Linked DNA regions of Tamandua tetradactyla. The protein of the gene in region 2 purifies or fractionates together with the protein of the main gene of each other region. This does not show direct contact. Links are inferred from orthologs where the notes say so. Each region holds a gene or a part of one and is shown on either strand. Other genes may lie near its edges. The genes, in order: SMAD4, TRIM33 and SSRP1.

Region 1 (3,745 bases), on a different chromosome or scaffold from region 2:
TGTTAAAACGTACTTGGAAATATATTGCTTTTTTGAATATATGTTGTTTCACACAAAAAAAAAATCGTCATTGAACAGGAAACGGGAAGAAAACACATGAGGCAAGAGCTATAGGGAAACAAATTAGAACTGAAAGTTTAAACATAAGAAAAATAATAAAATGTTCTCACCAATATAGGCAAAATACTAGGTAAGACTAAATATGTATTTTTAATTTAACAGACTCGGCAGAACCTGTACAGTTAACTGTGCTAGCAAAGATCTCACCAATTCACAGCCCAATGACACTGGTGTCTAGTGATGTTACCTTAACACTGGCTCTATCAGAAAAAGTCATTTCAAGCCAGAGAGCTGAAATGTAACTGCTAGAATCATCAGTTTATAATATTTATTCTTTAATTTAAGAGAAGAGGGGTGAAATTTGAAAGGGAATGCAAAAAAATTCACACCCAAACAGAGAACTAGCTCCACTACAGTACAGCTTAAGAAAGTAAAGCACAGGTTTTTAGATTTGCTGCTTCTTAGTATAACCAGACTGGCTTTGAGGAAAGCCATCATAAAAGGTCAATGAATCACATAAAACTGATTCAGGCTTTCTCAGCACAAACTTTTATGAAGTCTGAAACAGATTTGCAATGAAGTCACTCAAACCAAATTTCACTTCAAAAATAAAAAAAACTAAAATGCATTATCTCTTTAAAGCAAATCCACCCAAAAACCTAGAAAGCAAAGAAAAAGCCACTTCTATTAATAGACTCACAAAATGTTTTATCAATTTTCTCCAGAAAAGCTTTTAGTTTTAACTCCAATAACTTAAACCTACCTAATTCATCACCACCTTAATAACTAAAGTTACTCCAAGTCATAAATGTTTGGCCTCCCTCTATTACATTTGTTCTGTAACAAACCCATTTAAGGAAATAAAATCATGACCACATTATGGAAGAAACACAGATGAGAAACCATATTTTTAAATGTTAATTGTATTATGAATTAACCATATCAGAGCTTTCCAGCAGAAAAATAAAAATTACACCTCAGAATTTCATAAGCTGTATTTCAACTAAAATATATCTAGTCCCGATATGGCAAAGGTAATTTATTGAAATGCAATGTTCTAAATCTAATTTCTTTATAAAAGTATGCATTTCTTCATTTCCTTTTAAGGCTCTAAATGGTTTCTGCCTGCACAAGTACTGACCGGACGTCTTAACCGAATATTCAAGTGGCTACAGACTAAAAGGATGCTAATTCTCGAAAAAGTCAAGCGAGACTTTTTTTCAATCAGCCAAGAACGCATGCCTTTGGAGTCAATTCAGGCTACATAAAATGATTACCTATATTTTGTATTATAAGTACTAAATAACTGGCAACTTAAGCCTAAACTATGGGGCAAAATCTAAAAGAATTAAACCAATTCCAAAATTAGTTTTAGATAAATATGTGCATATAATGGGATGTATGCACAACTATATAATGCTGTGAGCCAGCAAGTGTATACTTCGGATGTGTGTATGGTGTGTGACTGTATCTTAATAAAACTGCATTTTTTAAACATGTGTTAATTTTTTTTTAAAAAGGTTTACTAGGGTTTTCAAAGGGAAAAGAGCTATCCATTTTCAACAGAGTTTTTAAAAAAATCTCTCTATATCCGCAAAGAAACCTTTCATGTTAACTAAAAAACACCCATTTCTTTTAAAATCTAGCTTGAGAATTAAAAACAGCAGCTTAGGGCCTGTGATGGAGTCATCGCCCTCCACGCTACACCAATTTCACGATCTGTACACTTAGTCCTGGCAATAAGATAAACTACGTCTTTTATTAGGAAACATTTTTTACTGAAGGCGGGAATGGCGGTTCAATTAGGTGCTAAAACAGTTTCCTGCATACCGCCATCACCCACAATATCAAAAAGTAAACAAAACAAAGCCAGAAACGTAAACTAGAATGACACGATCAGGAAGAGAAAGGGATGAAGAGAAAAATTTTTTTGCTTGACAAAAAAAAAGGAAAACTATTTACAACTTTTATTTAAAGGTAAGGTTCCTCCCCGTCCACACTCCAACCCAACGCGCTTTGCCGGGGCAAACAGTGAAACTACTTAAATAACAAAGAGGAGCAAAGGCCGCAGCGGGAGTCCTTCCCCTCCGAGTTTAACTTGATTCCCGTCCTAACTAAGAGGGGACTTAGGGACTGGAGGACCAACTCTGGCCCGAGCTCGAGGGACTGGAGCCACCGCGCCCAGCCCGACACGCGCAGGGGCCGCCGACCCGACTGAGCTCCGCAGGCGGCCGCGCTCGCTCGCTCTGCCCAGCAGACCTCCGGCCTCCCGCGCGCTCCCCGCCGCCTCCGCTGCCGCCGGGAGCCCGCCCCGGGGCGGGGAAGCCGCGGGCGGGGCGCACGGGCCTGGCCGGGGGAAGGGGAGGGGACATGGCGCGGTTACCTGGGCTCGGGTGGTGGCGAGAGAAGTCCGCTCTCCCGCCGTTGTTCCCCCAGCAATACAGACTGCTCCTCAGCCCCCGCCTCAGAGAGCCTGGGCCAGTCCGCCCCCTTCTCGGCGCGGCACCGCTGCCCGTGCGGGCCGGACCAGCTCGAGCTCCCGGGCCACCCCGCGACTGGGGGCCTCTCTTGCGGGACGCCTGGCTCCCCTCACCCGCTCCCGCCCTCCGGACGGCCGCGGAGCCGAGGGGAGGGCGAGAAGGGCCCGAGGAAGAGAGCTGGCGGGCACCAACGGGGGCTTCTCCACCCAAGCTGCTCCGTTACCGCAGCGGCGACGACGACCAGGGCCGTGTTGTTGCTGCCAACTTGTCGAACGGACACTGAGCATGCGCGCGCAGGGACCACATCCGGGTAATTTCAGGGTTTGGCCCTTTTCCCCCTTAGCTTTCCCTTCTCCCCAGTGCCCCCGCCTCCTGCCCTGTGTGACGGGTAGAGTCGCTCTGCGCAGGCGCTCGCGGGGTAGTGCTGGTCCGCGCACAGCCGAGAGTCCCGGCCCTTGCTTGGGCCCCGGCGGAGGGGGTTGTTTCACGATGGTGTGGGGGAAAGGCTGCATGCAGAGAGTGGTCATCAAAGAAGTTGGCATCCCTTTCCAAAAAGTGCACAAGCAGAATGGAAGAAGGGGCTGCATTCCTACAGAATCGGCGTAATAGTTTGCGTCTAAGTGTTTGTGATCAGCGGTCAGCGGAGTATTTTTTTTTTCTTTTAGGACCTACGTGGATGCAAAAATTAGATTTTAAAAGCCCAATCTAGCTCAGAGGAGAGGGTAGTTGTACTGATTTAATTCGGGAAGAGACTGGCGGTAACCGGGCCTTCCTTCTCTTCCTACCAGCCCTGGATCACCCCGGGTTAAGGAGATGCGCATGACATTAACCAAGGAATCATATTTGATAGTCTTGCCAGGTATTGTGAAATGTGAGTGATTCTTACTGGAAGAGTTTAGGCGGAATCTCAGAGTTGAAAGAGACTTTCGATGTCATACAACACCACTAACTGAGTTACTTGTTGGCTGAGGAAAGACATAAACTCTGCTGTTCATTCCATACTTTTTGAATTTTCACGAGACATTTCTCTTGTAATTTAAAAAGTATCAGCACACTGTCTGATGTACATAGGCATTTTTTTTCCATGAACTCCGAACCACTTCTCATTGGACGTCACACCAAGACTAACAATTAGAAAGTTCTGAAGTCCTTTCTTAGGCCTTATCCCGCAGGAACTCCACTCCTCCTGACCTTCGCACCACTCA
Region 2 (3,745 bases):
CCTTGCTCACAGCAGTCCAGCCACACCGACCGTCCTATTCCTCTAACAAGTCAGAAATCCTTGCCTTCCTCAGGTCCTTTGCACTGGCTATTTGTTCCTCTGCCTGGAACAGTCTTCAACAAAAGAACCACAAAGCCTGTTTACCTGCATCACTCCCTGACATACATATCTTCCTCCATTTGATAGTAAACTCCTAAAAGGCAGGATCGCTTTTGTTCTGTTCTCTGCTGCAATCCCAGTGTCTCTAAAATACTGCCTGACACGCAATAAGGAGTCTGAACGAATGAATGAAAAACTTTTTTTGAGTCGGTTTATCTTATTTTAGGGACTTAGACCAGTTCACAGAGCATCGGTTTTTGTCAGAAGACCAAAGCACTTCATAATCCTAACACTAAAACTGCCTTTGCGCTATATAACATCCTCAAGGTACTTGTTTTTCAAATAACAGGCAATCCTTTCTGAAAGCATTTACTACCAGAATTGCTGGGTCACCTGCCACCTAACTCACCGCAGGACACTTGGTGATATTAGAAGGACCAGGTCTTAGAAGGACCTAATATTGGTTAGACGGGTGGCTTTCCCAACTGCCGCTCACCAGAATTACCCTAGGTAATTTTTAGACATCCATCTGCCCTCTCTTTCATTTCCTGATTCAGGTCTGAGGCATAACCCTGGCGTGTTTTAAAAAAGCTTCTCAGTTGATAGGTTTTTTTTTTTTTTTTTTTTTTGGTATGTAGCGATATTTGAGAATCAAGCTCTTTAAGAAGTTAAAAATAGCTATTAAAAGAGTTTCTTCCCTCACCGGGTGCGTTCGACTTGTTTCTGGTAGGCGCCAGTTAGAGAGAAAGTCCCATTTCACTACTCCCCTGAGCAGCAGTCATTGAAAGGAAGGCGGCCGGACACCGCACAAGAGCGCCAGGTGCTCCCGCGTCCCGGGCGGCAGGTGAGGCTTCCGCGGAGAAGCCTTCCGGGGGCCGGGGCGACGCCGGCCTAGAAACCATCCCTCGGGCCGGAACCGGCCTCAGTCTCCTCCTCTTCCACCCTTTCCCGCCCTTCTTTCCGCACCACCGCTGTGTCCGAGCTCACATCCACCCCCAAGCCAAAGGCCGTCCAAGGCCAAAGCCTCGGTCTTTGAAAAGTGGTTACTCGTCGGACCGCAGAGAAGCAGACACAAGACAACCTCGGAGGTCCAGCAAAGACGGACAGCTCGGTCGCCACCCACCTCGCCCGGCTCCCGCCTTCCCCCAGGAGGACGTGCGCCCGTACGTGCGCGCGCTGCGTCCGCCCTCTTTCCACCGCGCGACGCGAAGGCGGGGGCGCCGTGTGCGCGCGCGCTCTCGTTGGTTCGCTGGCTTGCTCGCTCTCGGCGGCCGCTCTCGCTGCGGCTGCGGCTGGGGCTGGGGGCGGCGGCGGTGGCGCGGGCGGCTGGCGGCGCGGGGCGGTCCGGCGGGTTCAAAGAGGAAAACATGGCGGAAAACAAAGGCGGCGGCGAGGCTGAGAGCGGCGGCGGGGGCAGCAGCAGCGCGCCGGTAACTGCCGGGGCCGCCGGGCCCGCGGCGTTGGAGGCGGAGCCGCCTCTTGCCGCGGTGCTGGTGGAGGAGGAGGAGGAGGAGGAAGGCGGCAGGGCCGGCGCGGAGAGCGGCGCGGCCAGGCCCGACGACGGGGGGGTGGCCGCGGCCGCTTCGGGCTCGGCCCCGGCTGCCCCAGCCCCTGCGGCCTCAGTGGGCTCTGGCGTCCCAGGAGGGGCAGTGTCGACGCCGGCCCCAGTTCCAGCCTCGGCTCCAGCTCCGGGTCCCTCGGCTGGGCCGCCGCCTGGCCCGCCAGCTTCGCTCCTGGACACCTGCGCCGTGTGTCAGCAGAGCTTGCAAAGCCGGCGTGAGGCGGAGCCCAAGCTGCTGCCCTGTCTTCACTCTTTCTGCCTGCGTTGCCTACCTGAACCGGAGCGCCAGCTCAGCGTGCCCATCCCGGGGGGCAGCAACGGCGACATCCAGCAAGGTGAGCTGGAGGCCTTGCCGGAGGCTGGGCCTCAGGGGATTTGAGCAGTCGAAGTGGACGGAGGTGCTTGGGCCCTGGACTGTTCGGACCGGCGAGCTCTGAGGGGTCGGGTAGTGAAGGACCCAGCCCTTGGGACGGTTTCCAGAGAAGCGGTACCGCAAGAAATGCGGGGAGGGTGAAGGGAGGGGTGCGGGCGCGAGAGACTGGGGGAGGGGACACCGGCTCCAGGGAGGTTTGTGCTGTGCAGACACGGGCTGGGAAGGCGTGGACTCGTACCAGACGCTGGTTCGGATGTCAGTGGGCCCCAGCTGTGAGTGAGGAGGGGTCTTTTCGGAACCGATTTTCAGAACCGTTTTGGGTGGAAGGGCCTCCGTCGGGCCAGGAGAGGTGTTGAGGAGGGAGTAGGTAAGGGATTTGGGATGTGGTGAACGATTGTCTGAAGGTAGGGGATTTGGCTTGTTCACTATTAAGGGGAAGAACGACTAGAAATTAAACAGTGGGAGGAGGATGAAGGGCACTGGAGAGTTTGGGAGCCCCCAGAGAAGGCTTTCTGGTTGAAAGTAATTTCAGGATGACATTGGGAAGGAGGAACTCTGGAAAGGAGACTGACTAGCTGTGAAGAGCCTGAAAGGTTAAGAGGGAAAAATTCTAAGATTTAGGGGTGAAGGAAAATGAATTTTGAAAGGAATTGGGAATTAGAGGAAGCGGGGCTTGAATTTCACTTCATTGTGCCTTTATGAGCCCCTGCTGTTCCAGCCTTTGTGCTAGGGTTGAATAAAATTGTCAACATGGAGTTCATTCACAATCGAATAGAAACAGATAACGTGCAGCGGCTGAGGTGGGTATTTGGCATAATGGGGGGAGGGAAGATCGGGGAAACCGTGGAGCAGGTTTCTTGAAGGGTGAGTAGCTACTGGGTGGGAGGGTATTCTGGGCACAGGTCACCTTACACATCCCTGGGCCTAGGGGGGTGTATAAAGTGACTGCTGGAAATTACATTGGTTCAGTGTCCTGGTAGGGAAGGGGTCTGTGATCTCTTATCTCAAACTCTTGGGCCAAGTATGTTTTGAACCTAAGAATTTTTTTTTCTTTTTCTCATGGAGTCTCTTACATAATATCCCGTCAAGTCCTGAGTTTACACCTTATGATCAAACACTGTTTCTGTAGTGAAACGTATGAATATCACTCTAATGGTAAGGACAGTAAGTAGCATCTCGCAGTTTAGGGTGGGTTTTGTTGTAAACTTTTGAAAAAAAAACTTTTAAAATGTCTAAGCTTCTTGAATTTTGGAATTGTAGGCAAGGGGTTGTAAATCTGTACTAAAGGGTTTGGGATTTATCCTGTAGAGTATGTCCTGTACACTGCAGACTAAAGGGAGTCTCTGAAGGGCTTTGATACCAAGGGGATAAAAAGATCAGATTTATGTCCCAGAAAGATGAGTTGGGGCCACATTGAGAGAGAGATGAGGGAAGGCAAGGCTGGAAGCTGGAAGGTCAATTAGGTGGGTCTTTGCATCAGTTAGGAGGCTCTAGTAATTAACATTTGGGATAGGTAGTAAAGGACTGATAAGTGTTAAAGAAGGAAGGGCTTTGGAAAGAGTAGGGACTTTGTAAGTGATGCTCAGTTTAGTCGTCTAGTTTGCCATTTTACTCGTGACTTGGACAGACTAATGTTCCTTAGCTTGTTTCTTCATTTGTGGAAGGGGAACAAAAATACCAACCCTCCTAGGGTTATTGATAGAATTAAATGC
Region 3 (3,745 bases), on a different chromosome or scaffold from region 2:
ATAGAGGGGACAAATGTTAAAATAAATTTAGGTTGAAATGCTAGTGATCAATGAAAGGGAGGAGTAAGGGGTATGGTATGGATGAATTTTTTTCTGTTGTCTTTTTATTGCTTTTTCTGAATCGATGTAAATGTTCTAAGAAATGATCATGATGATGAATATGCAACCATGTGATAATATTGTGAATTACTGATTATATGTGTAGAACGGAATAATCTTAAATTAAGAATGTTTGCGTTTGTTTGTTATATTTTTTTTAAAAACTAAAAAAAAGCACACCCTGGTCATCAGGCAAGCTCCTGTCCCCAGGTCAGCCCAAGTCTGCTCACTACCATCTGCTCCCAAGGCAAGTGGGGGCGGCCTCACCTCAACGGGGTCCACGCCATCCTCCTGAGTGGGAGGCACGTAGAAGCGCACCTCCATGAGCGAGACCTCTGCATCGTCGTTCTGGTGGAATTCCAGTGTCACCTCGTTCTTGCCCGTGGTGCACTGGGACACATTGCTGAGGGGTATCTCGAAGACAGGCTGGTCGCCGATGTCAAAGGAAAGCAGCTGCCCTATAGGGAAGGCATTATTAAGCCACATGCTCCTCCCCTGAACAAAGAGCATTTCCACCAGACCGTAAGTTCCGTGAGGAAGGGGAACTGGGGTTATTTTGTGCACACTGGCGATATCCATAAAATGCAGGATGAATGCATGGACTGACCAGAAATCGGAGACAGTGGCACAGGACAGAGAGCAAAACGAGTCAAAGACCAAAACCCTTCATCCTACCTTCTCCTATAAACCAGTCTCTCCTAAAACTCACCGCCAAACTTCACCGTCCCCCAGTTCCAGCCCTTCACACAGAGGTCCTTCTCCATTAGCTCAAGGCGATAGTGAGTTTTGAAGAAATCAGAGAGTTTCTCAAACTCCTGTGGATAGAGGAGAAAGAGAACCTCAACACAGCCTTGAATAGGCTAGGGTTACGTATTCACAAGAGACTGTCCCGGTACCCCCTGTGTCAAAAATCCATGCTAACTTAATCTCAGCTGTAAAGTAGTTTAAAGAGATTGTATACAGGGAATGGATCGCAGGCTAGAGGAAGAGTAAAGTAATGAACTGACATTCCTGTTTATGAGACTTAATAGTACTAGCTTCTTAAACTTTGTATAGGTGTTACTTTAAAGGAAGTGGCAATTAAGATAAAGAAAGTCTTCCAATCTGAAGCAACTCCAAGTGGAAAAATAAAACAAAAGCATCAAGCCAAGCTTCTCAACCTGGATTAAGAAAACAGGTAGAAATCATCTAAATAAAAACAGCAGGAAATCTTAAAGAAACTCACCAGACTTGAACAGCATAACAGAACCCTGACTGTTCCACGGCCTCAATGGCCCAGCTCTAATAAGCTCAAAATAGCAATACTATCGGAAAGTCCCTACTCTCTCTAAAAGTTCAAAAATATACAAGATAACACAAAAAAGGAGGCTATTTGCATTAGGACATCTCACCGATTCTCGGAAGCCATCGTATTTGTAGACGTGGCCGTTCTTTGTGAGCAGTTTAAGTCCATGGCCTAGAGCTACACGACGCCAGATGCCTTCCGTCAGCTCCCCAGCCTGGATATTGTCCACTTTGCCCGTCTTGCTGTTCTTGAAGATAATGCCTTGGCGGCTCAACCTCAGCCGGCCATCGTTCTGTCGGGAAAACAGGCCCAGAGAGGTGGAGATGGTACACACTGGGTGCCATGCATGGTCCCACCCAATGCCCTTTATCGATGCAGGAGCAACACCAGAAGTCGTCAGGGCCAGTGAGAACAGACAAATAGGAAGAATGGATCTCATCTCCACTCTGGCACCCAAAGCCCTGTGGGTCCTTAACTGCCTCATCTCTAACAGCGGGATTTGGAACCGAACAACCTATAAAATCCTTTCTAACCCTGAGATCCAAGGAGTCCCTCTCAGTGTCGTTCCTCGTTGGAGAAGCACCAGACACACATAATATTTTGAATCCTCCTCTTCCATACTAACCACATTATCAAAGCAAGCCCTTGTTAAAGCACAAACTCTCTACCCCACTTCCAACCGTATTAAAAGTTCAAGCCTTTCTCACCATTGAGCCTTTCACCTCCTGATAGATGTCGTTGAATTCCAGGGTCTCTGCCATGCTGATCTGGCCCGCTGGCCTGGGCACGAAGCCCTAGGCTGCACAAGGGGGAGCCAAAAAAAAACTGGGAGCTGAGTCCCAACTCCTCGGTGCGCGTCCAGTTGTTCCGCAAGTTGGGAACCTAAATTCAAAAGGACAGACCAGCACGAAAGACATCACTGTGCTCGGGGCTGGGCCGAGGTGGCACCCGCGACTGGCCCTGGGACGTCTCAGGATCTCCCCTGCCTGGGAAGCTTCAGGCAGCCTCTGCGGGGTAAAGGAGCCAGGCCCGGCCCGAGAACCGAGGCCCGAAGGAGCGCTTCCACCCCAACCCGACCCTAGCTCGAAGCGCTCCCCTGGGCGCCATGGCAACGAGCAGCGGAACTCCAGGGCTTGCCAGGACCCCACACCTTGCCCGGGCCCCCAACCCAGCTCAGGCTGCAGAGTTTCCCTCCCCGAGCGACCCGCGCGGCGCGGCCCCAGACCCGCGTCTCCCCCTCCCCCCAAAATGGATTCGCCCACTGCCCGCGGATTCGAATACGGAACGGTCCATCTCGAGCGTGCCGCGGGGGAGCTGAGCCCGCCTCCCTGGGGGACGGGGACGCCGGCCACCTACCTCCTCGGGCGGCCACCTCACGAGGGCCCCGGCACGGGCGGTGGGCGCGCTGGGGGGCGCAGGGGGAGGGGGAAACGGGGATGGGAACCTGGGGGCTGGAAGAGGGACGCAGGGGAAGCTTTCCCGCGTGCGCGGCCCCGCGTCCCGCCACCGGAAGTCGCGCTTAGACCATAGAGAGGACGAGCGGGCTAGAGAAGCGCGAGCCCGGACCGCCTGTGAGGCGGTCCCATAGAGTGTCAGCCGCTCTGGAGGACCCGAGGGAGTCGTTTGGGGGCTGAAGTCCGCTTACCCCGGGGGGGTGGCAGGGGAATGGAATCTGACTCCAGGAGGGAAGTGCTTCTTTAGGAAGTTACAGCCCCTTCTTCAGGGGAGGACTGGATTCTAAAGGGAAATTGTATAGTTTTGTTTTATCAAGACTTTGCACGTATGCGTGTGTCCGTGCTGCGGTGTTGCACGTCCTTCCACTGCACGAGAGTGGTTGCTTTGGAGCGGAGAGGAGTCTCTGGAACCTGAAGGAAAAGATTTAAAGAGCTGTGGCGAGAAACGACCCCTCCCACTGGCTGCACAGAGAATGCGGGCGTTGGTGTTGTGACCATATGGCTCTCTGGCTGTATCCCCGGTCCAGTAGGGCTGGATTCTTTTTGAAATTTCACTGTCTGCTCCCAAAAGCCGCACTCAAAACGGCAATTGATAGGCCCCCCCGGAAGAGGCTGGCAATCGGCGGTGTCAAGTTCCAGCGCTGGTGTCACATGCACCGTAGAGCCGGAAAGGATTTGAAATCCCATCAGCCTGGGATCGCGGAAACCGAGCCGCACCGTGCGTCTTACAAAACCAGGGAAGGCCAGACCGAGAAGAAATGTTGCTCTAATCCAACTCCTTCTGCAGATGAGAAAAGTGGGACCTTCAGGGGACTTGCCCAGGATCTCAATGAGAAACCTGGAGGCCAGAACCCAGGTCTTCTTGAATCGCGATTACTCCACATTCAGAATAGCTGATGAAGTGTCT

What was found.
Region 1: the proteins of TRIM33 (region 2) and SMAD4 purify together in Homo sapiens (affinity purification with western blotting; 7 studies listed by BioGRID and IntAct, with this or other methods). This does not show direct contact. The link is inferred for Tamandua tetradactyla from reciprocal best matches to the Homo sapiens genes TRIM33 and SMAD4.
Region 3: the proteins of TRIM33 (region 2) and SSRP1 purify together in Homo sapiens (affinity purification with mass spectrometry; 3 studies listed by BioGRID and IntAct, with this or other methods). This does not show direct contact. The link is inferred for Tamandua tetradactyla from reciprocal best matches to the Homo sapiens genes TRIM33 and SSRP1.

What each region holds. Positions count from the first base shown.
Region 1 is NC_135344.1:31,637,303-31,641,047, forward strand, and holds the start of SMAD4 (mothers against decapentaplegic homolog 4), read right to left. Parts: upstream 2,868-3,745; 5' UTR 2,444-2,867; exon of another isoform or gene 2,180-2,443; intron 1-2,179. UniProt on the Homo sapiens protein: In muscle physiology, plays a central role in the balance between atrophy and hypertrophy. When recruited by MSTN, promotes atrophy response via phosphorylated SMAD2/4.
Region 2 is NC_135337.1:7,027,414-7,031,158, forward strand, and holds the start of TRIM33 (E3 ubiquitin-protein ligase TRIM33), read left to right. Parts: upstream 1-1,405; 5' UTR 1,406-1,466; coding exon 1,467-1,995; intron 1,996-3,745. UniProt on the Homo sapiens protein: Acts as an E3 ubiquitin-protein ligase. Promotes SMAD4 ubiquitination, nuclear exclusion and degradation via the ubiquitin proteasome pathway. According to PubMed:16751102, does not promote a decrease in the level of endogenous SMAD4.
Region 3 is NC_135335.1:20,257,072-20,260,816, reverse strand, and holds the start of SSRP1 (FACT complex subunit SSRP1), read right to left. Parts: upstream 2,889-3,745; 5' UTR 2,741-2,888; intron 2,267-2,740; 5' UTR 2,146-2,266; coding exon 2,092-2,145; intron 1,677-2,091; coding exon 1,491-1,676; intron 915-1,490; coding exon 809-914; intron 558-808; coding exon 367-557; intron 1-366. UniProt on the Homo sapiens protein: Component of the FACT complex, a general chromatin factor that acts to reorganize nucleosomes. The FACT complex is involved in multiple processes that require DNA as a template such as mRNA elongation, DNA replication and DNA repair.